Saccharomyces cerevisiae S288C: one gene and its partners. The protein of the gene in region 1 binds, or shares a complex with, the protein of each later gene. Each region holds a gene or a part of one and is shown on either strand. Other genes may lie near its edges. The genes, in order: PFS2, PAP1, SWD2 and PTA1.

Region 1 (5,024 bases):
TGTTTTTAAGTGGATTAAAAGATGAAATCGTTCCACCCTTCCACATGAGGAAACTGTACGAAACATGTCCTAGTTCGAACAAAAAGATTTTCGAATTTCCACTTGGTTCACACAATGATACTATTATTCAAGATGGGTACTGGGATATAATAAGAGATTTTCTAATAGAGAAGGGTTTTATCTAAAAGTAATAATCAAAATATTTGATAGATTTATTTACTTTACTGTATGTAAAGAAAATGTGGTCAGTCCTCACGGCCACTTAGTTACTGATGGTTATTTATTATGGAAAAAAAAACTGCACTTTGCTACTTCTTCTATTTATATTATGTAATATCTACTCCGGTTCAAATATTTTATTGATCTCTTGCTCATTCTTTTTCCTCGTTTCAGGAACTAGTATCCAACTGAATATTATCAACGCTAATAGGCAAGCAGCAAATATGTATCCTAGTTTGAAATCAATTTTGGATACAATCATTGGTGTTAAAAGTGATATTAAGAAATTGAACATCCAATTGATAAATGTGCAAATAGCCATTGATATGGCCCTCGTTCTTAGAGGGAACAATTCGGACACTAGTACAAATGTAACTGGGCCCAATGTTATTGCAAACCAAAAAATAAAACAACAAGTCACGATAATTAAAACAATATTTGAGAAGTCCGTTTCTCTTCCAAATGTCCCCACAGTAGCATATGTCATCATATAAAATAATAAATTTGTTGAACCATATAATAAACATGTCTTGTGGCCCCATTTCTCCACGTAATATATGCCTAATATCGTAGAAAGGAAGTTAACACTTGACAGTATGATTGAAGTAATATAAGGATCCTTAATCCCGACACCTTTGAAAACAGACGTTCCGTAATAAAAGAAATAATTTATTCCGGACAGCTGTTGAAATGCCATTATCATCATACCAATAATCAGTCTCAACCATAACTTTGGCTTTCCCATAATAAATTCAAATGTGTTTCTTTTAACTAAGCTTTGCTTTTTTGATTCGTTGTTAGTTTCCTCATTATTATAGTTATTTTCCAGCAAATCATCGATGAATTCAATTACCATGCTATCCGTCGCAGGGATGCCATTCATCCTCGCAAAAGAGTATTTAGCAGAGGGCACATCATTTTTGATTTTTGCCAAGTACTGTGGAGATTCAGGAACGTAAACAAGTGACATTCCAATTATAATTGCCCAAATGTATCCCAAGAACAATGGCAATTGCCAGGCTATATTTTGTGTAGGATCTTTATAACATCTTTCGCATATGAAATTTAAAATGTTTCCCATTAGTATGCCAAATGTTACAATCAATTGATACGTAGATACCATGGAGCCTCTGATTTTTAGTGGAGAATTCTCGGAGAGAAACATTGGCACCAAGACAGTGGTTACTCCCACACCGATTCCCGTTACGGCTCTTCCCAATGTCAAAAAATACCACCTTCCATAGGAGAGAATTTGAATGGTTATACCGATGCAGTACACTACTAAGGCAAACCATATACCACCTTTCCTACCAATCCAATCACCGATTTTTGACAGAGTTAAAGCCCCTACGCCACAACTGATGTTAAAAATACTGATAATTAGGCCTATTTGCAGATCAGTAAGTTTCTTAGTAGATACAAAAATTGTTTCATCGTCATGGATAATATTAGTTGTGCCAAATTTTTCTTGAAAGCTAACCATATTTGTCATTCCACCGATGGTTCCAATGTCCCATCCAAAAATAAAGCCACCAAGCGAGATTACCAAGCACAATAAAACGGGAATATGCAGACTCGCATTGTGACTAATCTTTGCTGCTTGGCCTTCTATATTTTCTTCTTTATCATCTAGATACTTAATGGTTACATTATAATCCCTTCCCCTGCCTGCATCAAGCTCATTATTGTGAAAATGAGAGATGTATCCCGAGCTATGTTGATACGGAATCTGAGCAGTCATTTCTAGCAATAATTGAAGTACTTTACTTCCTAAGAATACGTTAACAAATTCTTTGTTAGTATTTCTAATTAAAAGTGGTTAATTGTTCTGTTAAACAGTATTCAATGTTGCTATTTGAATTTGTGTCATCATTAGAATTACTGACATTTTTATTTTCTATTTTTTTTTCTATTTTTTTTCCTCTTCTTTTGAGGGCCGACGTATCGATTTGTCAAGGGAAGTATAATTAAAGAAAGCACTGATATACAGGTTGCTGGGTAGATATTAAGAAGCTCAACATAGACACGTTATGGACGGGCATAATCAGAACCAGTACCAGAATCAGAATCAAATTCAGCAGTCACAACAACCACCTCTGAAGAAATATGTGACACAGAGACGATCGGTAGACGTGAGTTCTCCGTATATTAACCTATATTACAACAGACGACATGGATTACCGAACCTAGTGGTAGAGCCAGAAACTTCATACACAATAGATATAATGCCGCCTAATGCCTACAGAGGTCGAGATCGAGTCATAAATTTGCCCAGCAAATTTACGCATTTAAGCTCGAATAAAGTGAAACATGTGATACCCGCCATCCAATGGACCCCAGAAGGCAGAAGACTTGTAGTAGCAACTTATAGCGGAGAATTTTCTCTATGGAACGCATCTTCGTTTACGTTTGAAACCCTCATGCAAGCACATGATTCGGCTGTGACTACAATGAAATATTCTCACGACAGTGATTGGATGATTAGTGGGGACGCAGATGGAATGATTAAGATATGGCAACCAAACTTTAGTATGGTTAAAGAAATTGATGCTGCACACACGGAAAGTATTAGGGATATGGCATTCAGTAGTAACGACTCGAAATTTGTTACCTGTTCAGATGATAATATCTTGAAGATTTGGAACTTCAGCAATGGCAAACAAGAAAGAGTATTATCGGGGCACCACTGGGACGTGAAAAGTTGTGATTGGCATCCCGAGATGGGGTTAATTGCCTCCGCATCTAAGGACAATTTAGTAAAACTGTGGGATCCGCGTTCCGGAAACTGCATATCATCAATTCTGAAGTTCAAACATACTGTCTTGAAGACGCGATTTCAACCCACCAAGGGAAATCTATTAATGGCGATTTCAAAAGATAAATCGTGTCGTGTGTTCGACATTAGATACAGTATGAAGGAACTAATGTGTGTAAGAGATGAAACGGATTATATGACACTAGAATGGCACCCAATAAATGAATCTATGTTCACTCTGGCGTGCTATGACGGCTCGCTAAAGCATTTTGATCTTTTACAAAATCTAAACGAACCTATTTTGACTATTCCATACGCCCATGATAAGTGTATCACCTCGTTATCATATAATCCAGTAGGACATATATTTGCCACAGCAGCTAAGGATAGAACCATAAGATTTTGGACTAGAGCGAGGCCAATTGATCCTAATGCATATGATGATCCAACTTATAACAATAAGAAGATAAATGGATGGTTTTTTGGCATCAATAACGACATCAATGCTGTGAGAGAGAAGAGTGAATTCGGTGCGGCCCCGCCACCACCAGCTACACTTGAACCACATGCGTTACCAAACATGAATGGATTCATCAACAAGAAACCGCGTCAAGAAATCCCAGGCATCGATTCAAACATCAAGAGTTCCACATTGCCAGGTTTAAGCATATAAAAGTGCGCTTTGACGAGATTTTAGGATACATAAATAAAAAGACTATATAACATATTATTTGTGATAATATCTCTCATTTCTGGGGAATGTACCCCACAGGCACCACTGTTTACTTTTGTCGCTGATATCTTCATAGAATTTTTCTTTATTCTTTGGGGTATTCTTCTCGGTGTAATATTCAATGAAAAATAAATATCGCCAGTTTCTATCATGTTCGTCCAAATGGAATGGTCTAGAGTTTATAGAACACATGTTGAGTGAATGGATTTTTAGTATGTTCAAAACATCTACCAAAGAACCAGGGTCATCTTGACGAGTAGTAAAGGTGAGTAGGTTAACCCGTAGTAATCCAGTGTCTTCTACTTCATTGTCGCCTGCGTTCTCCCTTCTCTTCAATACTAAAAATCTTGTTGTATTTCCTAGCTTATCATTTATCGAATGTTCAATGATGTACGCCTTATGCAATTGGGCAGCTGTTTCACTAGCAATGGCTAAATGCAGAATGTTGTCGCAATCGGCCGTTGATGACCGAATGCATTGGTTCACTGATTCAGATGTGGAAGAACAATCCAATCTTATAAAGGTGACCTGCGGAAATTTTTCTGCCATGGACCTTAAGTAACATTCAACCTGGCCCCATACTTGCGGATGTGAGTGTATTATGACTTCTTCAAAATTTCCAAGGGATGCAATACCATTTGGTAGTTGGATTGGGCTGATTAGACAATGGGTAATGGGTACATATTGCTCCGCTATAACTTCTATATCTGGTGTAATTCTATTAGTATCTGCTGGAGCAGGTAAGGATAGGGCTTTTTTGATCATCCTATCACGCAAGAGATCATAGGAAAAAACTACTTGTCCATTGGTGGAATTTTCCAACGGTACCACTGAATAATCTATACTAGTGTCGTTCTCCAATTGGTTAAAACATTGGGGGATAGAGGCTGCTGGGAGGTACTCAACATCAGATGTTGATTGAAATTGTTGTAATGCAGCTTGATGGGAATACGTACCTTTGGGACCCAGAAAAAGAACCCTCAAAGTCTTGCTGGCCATAATTGAAGGATGAATGCGGAAATATAATGAAGTTGCTTTTCGTACTTTTTTAGCCTGTTCTTTCTGCGTATTATATTCATCTACTAAAATTTTTATTTTCATTTTTCATTATGAAAATACAAGAGTCATGCTGATAACTGTGTAAAGAAACTGTACGCTTGTCGCAGATGATGTAGTACGTATTTTATTTACAGGTGTCATTAATATATATATATATATATATATACGTATACGGAAGTAATTCTTCGTTAATTTTCCATGGACTGTGATAGCGAAATCAATTTCTCGACGGTGAATCCCGGAGAGGCCTTAGAGAAA
Region 2 (4,294 bases), on another chromosome or scaffold:
AACTGGATTTGCTCAACCGGTGCGAATCAGATCCTACGGTCAGTTTTTTGGAGCCCATTGTAACTTCTTTTAGTATATCTGTGTCAATAAAGGTACAGATTGCATGAACTCACACTTCATGTAACTGTCAGACGTAATTCTCGAGATAAACGTCTCGTTGAAGCTTGTTTTGTTATATTTGTCAATCCTGGGTCCCCTATTCCGTCAGAAAAAAAAAAGCCTAAATATCTGGCCGAAACTCGGAAAGGAAAAGGTTCCGTTCCTTTCCCAGCCAATTTAACTATGCCTTCAAAGGTATCATCCTGACATCCAGCTTGTAACACAAAATTCTCACCTAATGGTAAAATGTCGCTACACGCGAAAGAGCATATGTAGAGAGAATCTCGTAAACGTTTTACTGCTTCGTAAAAAAAGTACTTTGATTCAAAAAAAAGGGTACAAATTTGTTTATGACTGATTAACCTATATTAATAAACTATTCAACTATAAATAGGAATGTCTTAGTTTACGTCAACAGCTGCGGTTGTGCCATTGATGTTGTCACCTGAAGCAGCATCTGATTTAGATCTCTTCACGGTTTCATGTCTAGCATCTAAATTCTTCCTTTTACTCTTCTTTGATGGTCTCTTTTCATTTTCATCGAAAACTTCATCTGGCAAATCGTAACCCTTTACGAAGCGGAGGGCTAGATTGAATACTTTGTGGTCACCATAATCCTCATTGAAACTTCGACATAAATTCACAAATTCAGTGCAGGGAATGTGAATGTCAACTTTTTCCTTTTTGTTTTCAATATTAAAGTCAAGGCCTATGTACATGGTGCTTAAATATGCCTTTGGTGCATCTTTAATACTTTCTTCCTCTTTATTTTCATCTGTTACCAGTTTAAGGGCGTTCAGTGCTGTCTCAGTTTTATGACTACCGTATTTGTCTTGAATCATTTCATAGTCATCCTCGGTTGGACAACAATAACTACTTTCAAAGGGTTTGGTGAAAGGATGTGCAATTTTTATTCCAGCTAACACCTCCAGTTTCATAACTAGAAGCCTTACCTTACTTTCAACAAGACCACTCCATTTTAAATGCTGCTCGTCACTGCCCCTTGTATATGCAGTAATTTCTAAATAGAACTTGTATCGAAAGAAAAAATCGTTTTTTTCGAATAAATTGGCCCAGGACTTCTTATTGGAAAAAATATCATTCGTAATTTGAACGCCTCTTACGAATTCCTGTAAAATGACTTTTTTAGTAGATTCCGTGATGTTATGGGTAGCACACATTGATGGATAAGCTGGTGTAATGACGGGCATTCTATGAGACCTGTCTTGGGCATATATCTTTGGATTCCATACACGAACTTGTAACGGGCCATCCTCAATTGGTTTCAAGATAACAGGTTGTGGCCAATTCCATTCCGACAAAATGATGAAAAATCTGTTCAATATAACTGCGCTACAGGCGTTAGGGTATAGTTGACAAATTCTAGCCACTAGCATGGCCCAAGCCACACCACCAGGAAAACCAAAAATATTAGCATAAACAGCCCTTCTTTGGGCCCATAGCTTAATAGCTCTTAAAGCGATTCTGAAAACATTCGGCTTTGGTACCAGTTCTAATATCTCATCTGTTACTCTGGTACCATTCAAAGCTCTCAAGTCCTTCTCGTCTAGATTTCGCAGTAGATTTTTATCTGATAAAGTCAAGGATAAAGGCACTTGAGGTTGGTCTAGACGTGCACAGATTAAATCGATAGAAATACCACTGAACTTTATCTTGATAATCGGGACAAACGCATCAGGTACAGGTGCAATTTCATCCAGTTCCTTCCTCTCTCTCAGTAGTGAATCAAATACCGTAAAAAAATCTTCCCGAGTTACATGTTTTGGAACAACTACCAAAGTATCGATATCACTACCAGGCCCATGGACTCCTAGTCTATAGGACCCATACGTAAAAATCTTCCCACCAGCATCCCTTGCCATCCCGTCTGACATATTTTTCTTCTTCGATACTTCATAAACAAATCTTTGTGCCAATTCCTGCAATATTTTCAACACTTGTACCCTATTGGCAGTTTCTTGCTCTGTTTCGAACGATCCTTCCTTTTTCAGTTCTTGGATTAAACTATCATTTAATTTATTTTCTGCTGCTGTGGCGCCCACGGTGGAAACAGGTCCAGTAATACCAAAAACCTTTTGAGAGCTCATTATTTGTCTAAAAAAAGTTTATGCGTTAAATATTTTGCTAATTCTAGGCCTCTTTTGATTCAAAAAAGACCGTTTAAAGACTTGCTCACAGTGAAATTATTTAGCTAGTTTAGTGTCTTTAAACTTTTGCTAAAACGTTTCACTTGAAAAATCGTTCTAATATCGTCCAGAGGATAGTATGATAGCTTCAGAGAATTCGATAGATACTTGAATCCTCTAATAGTCGAAAAATGCTCGAGGGTAAACCACTTGTGCGCTTGGACTGGCCTAGTTTCCAAAACCAATGTTCTAATGGATTGATTTCTTCCCCAAACATTATTAAGTGGCCGGGTCACCCAAAGACTTGGGCGCCGTTGATTCGCGTCGCTTTGCCATCAAGAGAACAACATATCTTCCAAGACAGACCGAGATAATTCATCTATTTACTCCTAAAAAAGAATTAGAGAGGCCTTTTATAGCACCAAAATAAGGACCGTACGAAAACTGCACATTTTATATTATCAGATATCATGGATGAGCATTTAATTTCTACTATTAACAAGCTTCAGGACGCTTTGGCGCCCTTAGGAGGAGGATCTCAATCTCCTATTGATTTACCACAGATCACTGTTGTCGGTTCCCAGTCGTCAGGAAAGTCGTCCGTTTTGGAGAACATTGTTGGTAGGGATTTCTTGCCAAGAGGTACTGGTATTGTCACCAGGAGACCTTTAGTGTTACAATTGATTAATAGGAGACCAAAAAAGTCAGAACATGCTAAAGTAAACCAAACTGCTAATGAATTGATTGACTTGAACATCAACGATGATGACAAGAAAAAGGATGAATCAGGAAAGCACCAGAACGAGGGACAATCTGAAGACAATAAAGAGGAATGGGGTGAATTTTTGCATTTACCTGGTAAGAAGTTTTATAATTTTGACGAAATTAGAAAGGAAATCGTCAAAGAAACTGACAAAGTGACAGGTGCCAATTCAGGTATTTCTTCTGTGCCCATTAACTTGAGAATTTATTCTCCGCATGTTCTTACTTTGACGTTAGTGGATTTGCCTGGGTTGACGAAGGTTCCCGTAGGTGACCAACCTCCTGATATTGAAAGACAAATTAAGGACATGTTGTTAAAGTATATTTCGAAACCAAACGCTATCATATTATCTGTTAATGCCGCTAACACCGATTTAGCCAACAGCGATGGTTTGAAGCTGGCTAGAGAGGTCGATCCAGAAGGAACGAGAACTATTGGTGTCTTGACAAAAGTCGATTTGATGGATCAAGGTACAGATGTCATAGATATTTTGGCTGGAAGAGTCATTCCTTTGAGATATGGTTATATCCCAGTTATCAATAGAGGTCAAAAGGATATTGAACACAAAAAAACAATCAGAGAAGCCCTTGAAAACGAAAGAAAATTTTTTGAGAACCATCCCTCTTACAGTTCTAAAGCTCATTACTGTGGTACACCATATTTGGCTAAAAAGTTAAACTCAATCTTATTACACCACATTAGGCAAACTCTGCCAGAAATCAAAGCGAAAATCGAAGCCACATTGAAAAAATATCAAAACGAACTTATAAACTTGGGCCCAGAAACTATGGATTCAGCTAGTTCGGTTGTTTTGAGCATGATTACTGATTTTTCCAATGAATATGCCGGTATCTTGGACGGTGAGGCGAAGGAGCTTTCCAGTCAGGAACTTTCTGGTGGTGCTAGAATTTCTTACGTATTCCATGAAACTTTCAAAAATGGTGTAGACTCTTTGGATCCATTCGACCAGATCAAAGATTCTGATATCAGAACCATTATGTACAATAGTTCAGGTTCTGCCCCATCTTTGTTTGTCGGTACCGAAGCTTTTGAAGTTTTAGTTAAACAGCAAATTAGAAGATTTGAAGAACCATCTCTACGTTTAGTTACTCTGGTGTTTGATGAACTTGTTCGTATGCTAAAACAGATTATTTCACAACCAAAGTACTCAAGGTATCCTGCTCTAAGAGAAGCGATTTCTAATCAGTTCATTCAGTTCTTAAAGGATGCTACTATTCCTACGAATGAGTTTGTTGTCGATATCATCAAAGCTGAACAAACTTAC
Region 3 (4,842 bases), on another chromosome or scaffold:
TTCTGTGGATACGATTCTGGAGAGGCTAACGCCTCTTGTGCCGAATAATTTATTATTAAGAATCGGTCATCCTGCTAGGCTATTAGACTCTAATAAAAGACACTCTCTTGATATACTTAGTAAAAAGAATACTATTGTGAAGGACATTTCCCAGGAGATTGACAAATTAATTCAGGAGAATAAAAAACTAAAAAACTATAAGCAACGTAAAGAAAACTGGAACGAAATTAAACTGCTGCGCAAAGATTTAAAGAAAAGAGAGTTCAAAACCATTAAGGACTTAATAATACAATCGAGAATAGTCGTCACCACTTTACACGGTTCATCATCGAGAGAACTATGCTCCCTTTATAGAGATGATCCAAATTTCCAGCTTTTCGATACCTTGATCATCGATGAAGTCTCACAGGCCATGGAACCACAATGCTGGATCCCACTAATTGCACATCAAAATCAGTTCCACAAACTAGTCCTTGCTGGTGACAATAAACAATTGCCACCCACAATCAAAACAGAAGACGACAAAAATGTCATTCACAATTTGGAAACCACACTATTTGACAGAATAATCAAAATATTCCCGAAAAGGGATATGGTAAAATTTCTTAACGTTCAATACAGGATGAATCAAAAAATTATGGAATTTCCATCGCACTCAATGTATAATGGGAAACTATTGGCCGATGCAACGGTCGCGAACAGACTTTTGATAGACCTACCGACCGTCGATGCTACGCCATCTGAGGATGATGACGATACAAAAATTCCTTTAATTTGGTATGATACGCAAGGTGATGAATTTCAAGAGACTGCAGATGAAGCTACTATCCTTGGATCTAAGTATAATGAGGGCGAAATTGCCATTGTAAAAGAACACATTGAGAATTTAAGGTCATTCAACGTCCCGGAGAACTCTATAGGTGTTATTTCTCCATACAATGCACAAGTTTCTCATCTGAAAAAATTGATCCATGATGAATTAAAATTAACTGATATTGAAATATCAACTGTAGATGGGTTCCAGGGCCGTGAAAAAGATGTTATCATATTGAGTTTAGTTCGTAGCAATGAAAAATTTGAAGTTGGTTTCCTTAAGGAAGAACGAAGACTGAACGTCGCCATGACAAGACCCAGAAGGCAACTAGTTGTTGTTGGCAATATAGAAGTTCTGCAAAGGTGCGGTAACAAGTACCTAAAAAGTTGGTCAGAATGGTGTGAAGAGAACGCTGACGTAAGGTACCCCAACATTGACGATTATTTGTAAAGAATACACAAGATGTATAGAGTATACGTCGTTATACAGTAGGTAAAAAATGTTCGTTATATATTATATCCTCTAGTATATCAATGCAGTAGCAGCAGTCATTCATCGTACACGTAAAAATCTACTGTTTCGTCTGCGGTAACAAACATCGAATATTTAGGGTTGAATGCAATTGACCTGGGGCAGGTCTCATGAGAAACACAGGGAATGAACCCTTGCGGCCTTAATACTTTGTTACTTATTGAATCAGAATGATTCCAAATGGCAATCCTACCGTCATAATCGGTTCCAAGGACGAATTCACCATCTGGTGTGAAACAAGCAGATCCAGAATCTAGAAATTCTCTCATCGGGAAGGCCCTTGTTCCTATTAGTTCGAATAATTGTTGACCTGTGAATGCGTCAAAAATTAAATGCTTTCCTATCGAGGAGCCAACTAATAAATACTTTCCATTGTTAGAAAATTCTAATTTATTCCATTGACTGAAAGTCGCATCATTAATTTTAATTATCAAGAAAGGACCCTCCTGAATTTTTTTCAGATTATATAGCCCTATTTCGAAATTCTCTGGGTTCCCCAATGCGAATACAAGGCCACTTGGATCATATGCGATACAATTTGGTACGAGACTTGGTATAATAACTTGCGGTTTAGAGATCTTCAAATCCCAAAGCCTAACGGATTCATCGTATGACGACGATAGAAACGTATCGTTCACGGGGTTCATCTTCAAATCATTCACTAGGGCGCCATGACCGGAAAAATATCTTAGATATTGGTTTGTTTCCAGATTAAGGTATTTAATGTCAAAATTTTTCATTGTAGAGGAATAGATACATTCGTTTTGTGCGTGCGTAAAGATAGCGGAGTGACAGCCATATTTCTTAGAGGCTATAGTGTCCAAGAATTTGCAGTTCGTGGCACTGTACAATTGCATTGTATCGTTGGAAGAAGAGGTCAGTAGAAACTGGCCATTATCGTCGAAATTCAATGAGGTTACGGGTCCGCAGTCTTTTTCTTGAGGTTGAAAGCTTTTAACATGCTTGAATTTCAGCAGGTTGGGCTTATTGATGGACACGGTGGTCATTGTTGGCTATGCTAAAAGGACAAACGGTGTATTTGCTTGTGCTTTGCTCGATATTTTAGTCTTGCTTTCATTTTTTTTCTTTCTTTTTTAATGTACTAGTGCTAAACTGCATGAAGAAAAAATGGGTAAAAAAAGGTATCGAATAAATGAGTGTAGGTAACAGTTAAACAGCAAAAAGAAGGAGCAAAAGAGAGTGAAGATCAGATCGTAACATATTGCAAGATGTTGGGAATGATAAGGTGGGTAGTAGAGGGGACGTTGGTAGCTATGCTCCTATCGGCAATAAGAAGGGAGACGGGAATGATATTCTTTTACAACCAGTATCAGTTGGGCGGCTGGATACATAGATATCTGTCATGGGGAGAGATGTGCTACACAAGGACGCTGAAGATGGTTAAACGTTCTAAATTTTTCAGAAAGCAGTTGAACGAGGACGGGTTTGGACGCATCAATGATAGCGGTCCAAAACGAAGGGGAAGAGATCAATCTCAATACAGCAGTAGGTTTGTAGAACTAGATTAAACTTGCGTGCATGCACGTACACACGTAAATATATTCGTACAAATAGAGTGCTTACATATATTCAGTTCAGATTATTTATTTTGTGGTGCCACAAGTTTTTTCTAATAGGATCGTATTTGATTGCTAGCAAGCTATAGGCCTTAACAGCGTTGTCTCGGGTACAAGGGTCTGCCCCCCAGTGATATGCCAGGAATTCCAGGGCATATGAGGACTCGATCTCGGGCAAATCCTCTGGTGAGCCAATTGGAAGTGACAATACGTCACCGATGAAGGTTGTGGCGAAGTCGACTACTTTGCTATCCCACTGTAGCCTATCATGGAATAGCTCTTGGAAACCACGGAGGTAGGTCCACGGACTGATGTTCTGCGGAACCAATTGAATCTTGTCCATAATGAACTGGAGCTCGTCGGCCAATTCCACTTTTGAAATGACATCTTTAGCGTTCACCCAGTAAAACATCCTATGAGTCCATGCGCTGTTGTTATAAATGTCTGTCTCGATGAGGTCGCTGGCGTAGGCGAGCTCATGTTGAAAGTCACTGAAGAACAAACAGCACCACTTTCTGTACGACCAAACGTGATAATTCTTGGAATCATCATCAATCATCAGTTTTAAGATAGGCAGCTCTCTTTTGAAGGAAGGAGACGGATGTAGCTTCAAAAGAGACTGTCTATAGGACCAGATCTGATAGTTCTTTGGATTATTCAGCGTAACTTCATCTAGCCAGTCTAATTCCTTGTTCAGGTACAAGACAGTGTCTTCGGATTCACTCATCATGTGCCTGACGATATTGAATCGGTAGTTCCATATGGTGTAGAAGGCTGGCGCCACGTCGATAATTTCGGCTGTTAGCTGTAGTGCCCTGGGTGACAGTTCGTTAAGGCTGATCAGAGCCCTTGCGAGTCCCATCAACCGCTTATAATCCTCGGTATACATAATCCTGCACAGTTCATCCTGCAAGTCTGTCTCAATGGGCAAAGGTTTAACGTCTGAATAATCGTACTCCTCCATTTTCGATGGTGTACGTTGTATCAGCACTTGATATATAATATACCATAATTAACAGTCTTGCAGTAGGTCTGCACCAACAGTTAAGGACCAATTTAACAGAATGTCAAAAGCGAAACTTTGCTGATGTGTTTTATCACGAGGCCCAATCGAAAACCGGCGCGAGCACTGCTGCAACCTTCAAAAATGAGAGAGCGCTTCCCAGCAGGTCTCTAGTTGCATATGGATAGCGTCATGATGAATATAGGTCAGCATAGGGCTCTGGAAGGCCTGGCATTATCGGTTATTGTCGCTATTGCTGCCCTTTTCTCTGCTCGTGTAAGGTGACATTGTTGTATTCCCGCTTTTTTCGTTTCAATTTTAACGGCAAGGAGCAACCATGAAAGTAAGATGATCGCATGAACTGAAAATGTCAACGAAACTCATTCAAAATAATTATACTCTAGATATCCTCTAAACGACTAATCACAACAGTAGTACACCACTGAAAATGATGAGTGGCACAGGAAACGTTTCCTCGATGCTCCACAGCTATAGCGCCAACATACAGCACAACGATGGCTCTCCGGACTTGGATTTACTAGAATCAGAATTACTGGATATTGCTCTGCTCAACTCTGGGTCCTCTCTGCAAGACCCTGGTTTATTGAGTCTGAACCAAGAGAAAATGATAACAGCAGGTACTACTACACCAGGTAAGGAAGATGAAGGGGAGCTCAGGGATGACATCGCATCTTTGCAAGGATTGCTTGATCGACACGTTCAATTTGGCAGAAAGCTACCTCTGAGGACGCCATACGCGAATCCACTGGATTTTATCAACATTAACCCGCAGTCCCTTCCATTGTCTCTAGAAATTATTGGGTTGCCGAAGGTTTCTAGGGTGGAAACTCAGATGAAGCTGAGTTTTCGGATTAGAAACGCACATGCAAGAAAAAACTTCTTTATTCATCTGCCCT
Region 4 (6,239 bases), on another chromosome or scaffold:
CAATCTCAGTGCCCACTTCTGGCAACTCAACATAGGTAGCGTCCCCTAAGGCATCAGTGGCGTATTTTGTAATTCCGACAAAGGCAGTCTTGTCCTGATGCACAGCTATCCACTCATGTTGGGAAGTGTACCTCACGGCTTGAGGTCCTTGGGATGAGTACAAAAATGGTAGTTTATTCTTGTTTAGGGCATTGCCGGAGCTGTTTCTCAAAAACAATTTGCTCACAGTGGGCATGCGGGTGGTCCATAGTCTAGTAGTGCGTAACATTGTCGATGTGGTATGCTTCATGTGGAGATTCCCTTTCCCATTAGATACTTGTTTGTTGGTCTGTATATATAGAAGAAAGAGTTAGCGAAAGTGACTCCGCCGCTGAATGACTCCTTACGGAAGTGTCAAAATTGCGAGGTCCCTATAGCACAGAATGATAGATAAAACATTGATTTGCAAGTTGAAGGAAGACCCTACACATGCGTATATATGATGTATGTAATGGTTGTGATCATTTTAGCCTGTCAAGCAGTGAATCGCACTGCTTGTGTAAGCCTTCATCTTCTTGCTTTAGCTGATGCAGCAGGTCGCGAACAGTGTCCTGCACTGGGGGTCTAAACATAATGAGAAACTTTAGCGTTTGGAAACCAAGGGAACTTCTTGCCGGATCCAGGCAGATAGGCTTCAGTGCCTCAAGATGATCGCTTTGAAGACTGGGCAGTTCGCTCATAAGTCTGATGAAGAATCGTCTGTGTTTGTTTTCAAGGAATGGACCCAGAGACTCGAGAACTCTTAAGGACCATTTTTTGTAGTTAGAGGGATCTTGATGCAGCGAGGTTTGGAAGAACCATTCTTCATTGAGCCATTCAATGATCAGACTGACACGTTGCTCGAAATCCTGGATGAAGAAGCCAAGCAGTTCTTCACGAATCAGGTCACTGGCCTCTTGTGCTTCGATTCCTCTCGTAACCAATCTGATTAAGACGTGTAACCATGACGAGGAGTCGTCATCGTCCAGTAATATGGAGGAGGAAGACGAAGATTTGGCCCGGGTAGTATCCTGGCGACCGGATAATTCAAACAGTTTCTTGGTCAGCTTTGAGAGGTACTTTAGTTTTTCATCCTGCGTCAATGAGTCAGGTTCAAAGGGGGGTGCGATCTCCTTAATGGCAGAAGTTGATTTGTTGGCATCTCCTGAGATTTCTTGGGCGCTTTCCTCTTCTTGAAGCATCTTCTGCATTCGGTCATCGTCTTCGGGCTCCTCTGGTTCCTCCGCTAGTGGTTCTGTTTCCATTTTGATTTTCTTGCTATTAGCCGTTGGGCCATCGTTTCCAACTTCTTCATTGTCGTTGCCGTCGTCATCATCGTCGGATTTCCTCTTTGATGATGACGAGGACGGTACAGAATTGATGTACGTATTCATTAAATCCGTGTACCTCGAAGCAACGATAGACAATCCGGTGATCAGTTTCGTGCTGTCCATTTGCAAGATGGCCTCTGTGGACAGCTTGATAAGTATGTCATTGGGTAGCTGGGTCACATCCTGGTTGGAGTTCGAACTGTTCATCAATGAGTACACAGATGAGTAGGTGTTGCTGATTGGTTTGGGTGAGTTGTTGAAAAAAGTATTGCCCTGGTGTGAAGCCTTGTTGAGGGTGTATTTTTGCAATATCTTCAGTTGATCAAGCATGTTTTCGGTTGAAGAGCCCGTTGCAGGTGCGGACACAGGCGTGGGGGTCTTTGTGGACACCCCTAGAGTAGACAATAACGCGGATAATTGCCTTTTCCATAGTGAGATGTATTTTAGTTTGTCCTGCCTGGACAACGTTTTCTTGCTATTGCCCTTGGAAGGGTCGAAGTTCAAAATTCCCTTGCTCTTGGTCTCTTCGCCAATAACGTGTAAAGTTTGAGAAATCTTGGTCAGCTTGGAGTAGATCGATGACCCTGATCCGGATGAGAGGGATTTTGTAATGATTTGATTTTTTAGCCCAAATTGCACAAAGTTCTTGTACGCCCTTTCAACAAATCTCTTGGATAGTTTGTAGTTCAAGTCAGACTTGCCCTCTAGGGGAAACTTGGCGTCGACGTTGAAACGCAACAGCCCGGAAAGAATTCTTATTGTTGTCTGCGGCCTTCTTTTGATGACGAAGGATAAAGAATTGATGATACCAATGAAAACGGACGAGACCATGTACTGTTCCTCAATTAGGTAGTTTAGCAACATATCAAGAAGCCTCTTAGCCTCGCTCTCCAAAGCCGGTTTGTTCAACACAGGGTGGTTATCCGGGATGGTAGATGAATTAATCTCGTTGCCGCTGGGTGATTTAGTTTGCGACAGCACGACCTCAGATATGAACTTGATGGTCGCTAATTTCACGCCGATATTTTGGTCAATCTGCGCCAGCCATTGTTCGACATCCGTTTCATCGTCAACGGTGGCACGCAAAGGATATGCAGTTCTCCAGTGCGAGAGCACGAACTTCTTCAGCATACACAACTGATCAAACATTTCCTGGTTTGATGTCTTAGCAACCAGATCCAACACCAGCGGGTATGAAGCGCACATAATAAGCACGATATTCTTGTACACTAGTACGTCCGCGGTGGATTGCGCCATAGCAAGAAGTAGTGGCAGATATTGAGCAGCAATAAACGGTCTCTCAGTATTCGCAATTGGAGAGTCCATCGACACCACGTCTAGAACTAACTGTGTAAAAAACTTGGCCAAAGGCAACTTCAGCTTGCTGAGATTACCGTTGTGGTACATGGATGCCGTAGTTTCGAGCACCTTGGGCAGCATCTCCGTTGGATTGTTGTGCATGGCCAGTGTCTTGGCCTGTAACAATTGTTCCATCTCTGCAGATGACATTGCGCTGCTTAGTGGTAGTTATATGCTTCTTGCCACGATTTAACCATTTGTTCAGTCAAGTACTAACGGTTAAAAGGTATCGAAATATGGCAACTTTTCACTTTTAGATCAAGTCACTATATACGACTTGAACATCAGAACGGCGATTTTCCATCAAGATGGAGTGGAAACCACGCCATTATAAAGGAAAGCTAGTTTTATGTCTCGTATACATGCGGAGTAGGACAGTGATATAACACACATAGCTAGACACAATAGACATCATGAAAAGGTCCACGTTGCTGTCGCTGGACGCATTCGCTAAGACCGAAGAGGACGTACGAGTCCGCACCAGGGCCGGCGGGCTGATCACTTTATCGTGCATCTTGACCACGTTATTTCTGCTGGTGAACGAGTGGGGACAGTTCAATTCTGTGGTAACAAGGCCACAATTGGTGGTGGACCGTGACCGACACGCAAAGCTGGAGCTTAATATGGATGTGACATTTCCATCGATGCCATGTGACCTGGTGAATCTCGATATTATGGACGACTCTGGAGAGATGCAACTAGACATTCTTGACGCAGGGTTCACGATGTCTAGGTTGAATAGCGAGGGTCGCCCCGTGGGAGATGCTACTGAGTTGCATGTGGGTGGGAACGGCGACGGAACCGCGCCGGTTAATAACGATCCTAACTATTGTGGGCCATGTTACGGTGCCAAAGATCAGTCGCAGAATGAGAATCTAGCACAGGAAGAGAAGGTTTGCTGCCAAGACTGTGATGCAGTGAGATCAGCATACTTGGAGGCAGGCTGGGCTTTTTTCGACGGGAAGAATATCGAGCAGTGTGAAAGAGAGGGCTATGTCAGCAAGATTAACGAGCACTTGAATGAAGGCTGCAGGATCAAAGGTTCTGCACAAATTAACAGAATTCAGGGGAATCTTCACTTTGCCCCTGGAAAACCCTACCAGAATGCATATGGACATTTTCATGATACTTCTTTGTACGACAAGACTTCGAATTTGAACTTCAACCACATCATCAATCATTTGAGCTTTGGGAAGCCGATCCAGTCCCACAGTAAGTTGTTAGGAAACGATAAGCGCCACGGCGGCGCCGTAGTTGCCACTTCTCCCTTGGACGGACGCCAGGTGTTCCCGGACAGGAACACACACTTTCACCAGTTCTCGTATTTTGCCAAGATTGTCCCCACCAGATATGAGTACTTGGATAATGTTGTCATTGAGACCGCGCAGTTCAGCGCCACTTTTCATTCCCGACCTCTTGCCGGTGGAAGGGACAAGGATCATCCAAACACACTTCACGTTAGGGGTGGTATCCCTGGTATGTTCGTCTTTTTCGAAATGTCTCCATTGAAAGTCATCAATAAGGAACAGCACGGGCAGACTTGGTCGGGCTTCATCTTGAATTGTATCACCAGCATTGGTGGTGTCCTAGCTGTGGGCACTGTCATGGACAAGCTATTCTACAAAGCACAGAGATCGATCTGGGGCAAGAAGAGCCAGTAGAGGAAGAGACTGTCATAGGGAAGAGCCCTTTCTACATACTACTACATAATATATATATATAGTATAGAAATTGGTATATCACTACTTGTACAAATATCATATTGTACGATAATCGCGAAGAACGACGCACTGGTGGGAAGAAGTGGAAAACAGAAGCTTTAAGGTAGAAACAGAACAAGAATGTGGCTATGGTAGGATAGCAGAAGAGTACCATTGCTGTTATCATTTGTTGCCTAGCCCTATCAAGACCTGTCTGCTAATCCAACCCGAGAGATCATGGCGATCCAAACCCGTTTTGCCTCGGGCACATCTTTATCCGATTTGAAACCAAAACCAAGTGCAACTTCCATCTCCATACCCATGCAAAATGTCATGAACAAGCCTGTCACGGAACAGGACTCACTGTTCCATATATGCGCAAACATCCGGAAAAGACTGGAGGTGTTACCTCAACTCAAACCTTTTTTACAATTGGCCTACCAATCGAGCGAGGTTTTGAGTGAAAGGCAATCTCTTTTGCTATCCCAAAAGCAGCATCAGGAACTGCTCAAGTCCAATGGCGCTAACCGGGACAGTAGCGACTTGGCACCAACTTTAAGGTCTAGCTCTATCTCCACAGCTACCAGTCTCATGTCGATGGAAGGTATATCATACACGAATTCGAATCCCTCGGCCACCCCAAATATGGAGGACACTTTACTGACTTTTAGTATGGGTATTTTGCCCATTACCATGGATTGCGACCCTGTGACACAACTATCACAGCTGTTTCAACAAGGTGCGCCCCTCTGTATACTTTTCAACTCTGTGAAGCCGCAATTTAAATTACCGGTAATAGCATCTGACGATTTGAAAGTCTGTAAAAAATCCATTTATGACTTTATATTGGGCTGCAAGAAACACTTTGCATTTAACGATGAGGAGCTTTTCACTATATCCGACGTTTTTGCCAACTCTACTTCCCAGCTGGTCAAAGTGCTAGAAGTAGTAGAAACGCTAATGAATTCCAGCCCTACTATTTTCCCCTCTAAGAGTAAGACACAGCAAATCATGAACGCAGAAAACCAACACCGACATCAGCCTCAGCAGTCTTCGAAGAAGCATAACGAGTATGTTAAAATTATCAAGGAATTCGTTGCAACGGAAAGAAAATATGTTCACGATTTGGAAATTTTGGATAAATATAGACAGCAGTTATTAGACAGCAATCTAATAACGTCTGAAGAGTTGTACATGTTGTTCCCTAATTTGGGTGATGCTATAGATTTTCAAAGAAGATTTCTAATATCCTTGGAAATAAATGCTTTAGTAGAACCTTCCAAGCAAAGAATCGGGGCTCTTTTCATGCATTCCAAACATTTTTTTAAGTTGTATGAGCCTTGGTCTATTGGCCAAAATGCAGCCATCGAATTTCTCTCTTCAACTTTGCACAAGATGAGGGTTGATGAATCGCAGCGGTTCATAATTAACAATAAACTGGAATTGCAATCCTTCCTTTATAAACCCGTGCAAAGGCTTTGTAGATATCCCCTGTTGGTCAAAGAATTGCTTGCTGAATCGAGTGACGATAATAATACGAAAGAACTTGAAGCTGCTTTAGATATTTCTAAAAATATTGCGAGAAGTATCAACGAAAATCAAAGAAGAACAGAAAATCATCAAGTGGTGAAGAAACTTTATGGTAGAGTGGTCAACTGGAAGGGTTATAGAATTTCCAAGTTCGGTGAGTTATTATATTTCGATAAAGTGTTCATTTCAACAACAAATAGCTCCTCGGAACCTGAAAGAGAATTTGAGGTTTATCTTTTTGAAAAAATCATCATCCTTTTTTCAGAGGTAGTGACTAAGAAATCTGCATCATCACTAATCC

Evidence for each region.
Region 2: PFS2 (region 1) and PAP1 share a complex: the UniProt entries of both Saccharomyces cerevisiae proteins name them as parts of the cleavage and polyadenylation factor (CPF) complex.
Region 3: PFS2 (region 1) and SWD2 share a complex: the UniProt entries of both Saccharomyces cerevisiae proteins name them as parts of the cleavage and polyadenylation factor (CPF) complex.
Region 4: PFS2 (region 1) and PTA1 share a complex: the UniProt entries of both Saccharomyces cerevisiae proteins name them as parts of the cleavage and polyadenylation factor (CPF) complex.

Annotation. Positions count from the first base shown.
Region 1 is NC_001146.8:38,370-43,393, forward strand, and holds PFS2 (cleavage polyadenylation factor subunit PFS2), read left to right. Parts: upstream 1-2,249; coding exon 2,250-3,647; downstream 3,648-5,024. Other genes in the region: YNL320W (uncharacterized protein), read left to right, coding at 1-185; HXT14 (Hxt14p), read right to left, coding at 338-1,960; prephenate dehydratase PHA2, read right to left, coding at 3,702-4,706; ATP11 (Atp11p), read right to left, coding at 4,955-5,024. UniProt on the Saccharomyces cerevisiae protein: Integral and essential component of the cleavage and polyadenylation factor (CPF) complex, which plays a key role in polyadenylation-dependent pre-mRNA 3'-end formation and cooperates with cleavage factors including the CFIA complex and NAB4/CFIB.
Region 2 is NC_001143.9:441,145-445,438, reverse strand, and holds PAP1 (polynucleotide adenylyltransferase PAP1), read right to left. Parts: upstream 2,208-4,294; coding exon 501-2,207; downstream 1-500. Other genes in the region: oxysterol-binding protein OSH6, read right to left, coding at 1-58; dynamin-like GTPase VPS1, read left to right, coding at 2,717-4,294. UniProt on the Saccharomyces cerevisiae protein: Polymerase component of the cleavage and polyadenylation factor (CPF) complex, which plays a key role in polyadenylation-dependent pre-mRNA 3'-end formation and cooperates with cleavage factors including the CFIA complex and NAB4/CFIB.
Region 3 is NC_001143.9:401,612-406,453, reverse strand, and holds SWD2 (WD-repeat containing protein SWD2), read right to left. Parts: upstream 2,353-4,842; coding exon 1,363-2,352; downstream 1-1,362. Other genes in the region: ATP-dependent 5'-3' DNA helicase HCS1, read left to right, coding at 1-1,264; MCO12 (Mco12p), read left to right, coding at 2,575-2,874; RAM2 (bifunctional protein farnesyltransferase/protein geranylgeranyltransferase), read right to left, coding at 2,936-3,886; SPT23 (Spt23p), read left to right, coding at 4,374-4,842. UniProt on the Saccharomyces cerevisiae protein: The COMPASS (Set1C) complex specifically mono-, di- and trimethylates histone H3 to form H3K4me1/2/3, which subsequently plays a role in telomere length maintenance and transcription elongation regulation. Involved in mediating RNA polymerase II termination.
Region 4 is NC_001133.9:58,195-64,433, forward strand, and holds PTA1 (RNA-processing protein PTA1), read right to left. Parts: upstream 2,859-6,239; coding exon 501-2,858; downstream 1-500. Other genes in the region: GCV3 (glycine decarboxylase subunit H), read right to left, coding at 1-268; retrograde cargo receptor ERV46, read left to right, coding at 3,122-4,369; Rho family guanine nucleotide exchange factor CDC24, read left to right, coding at 4,646-6,239. UniProt on the Saccharomyces cerevisiae protein: Essential in pre-tRNA processing. Component of the cleavage and polyadenylation factor (CPF) complex, which plays a key role in polyadenylation-dependent pre-mRNA 3'-end formation and cooperates with cleavage factors including the CFIA complex and NAB4/CFIB.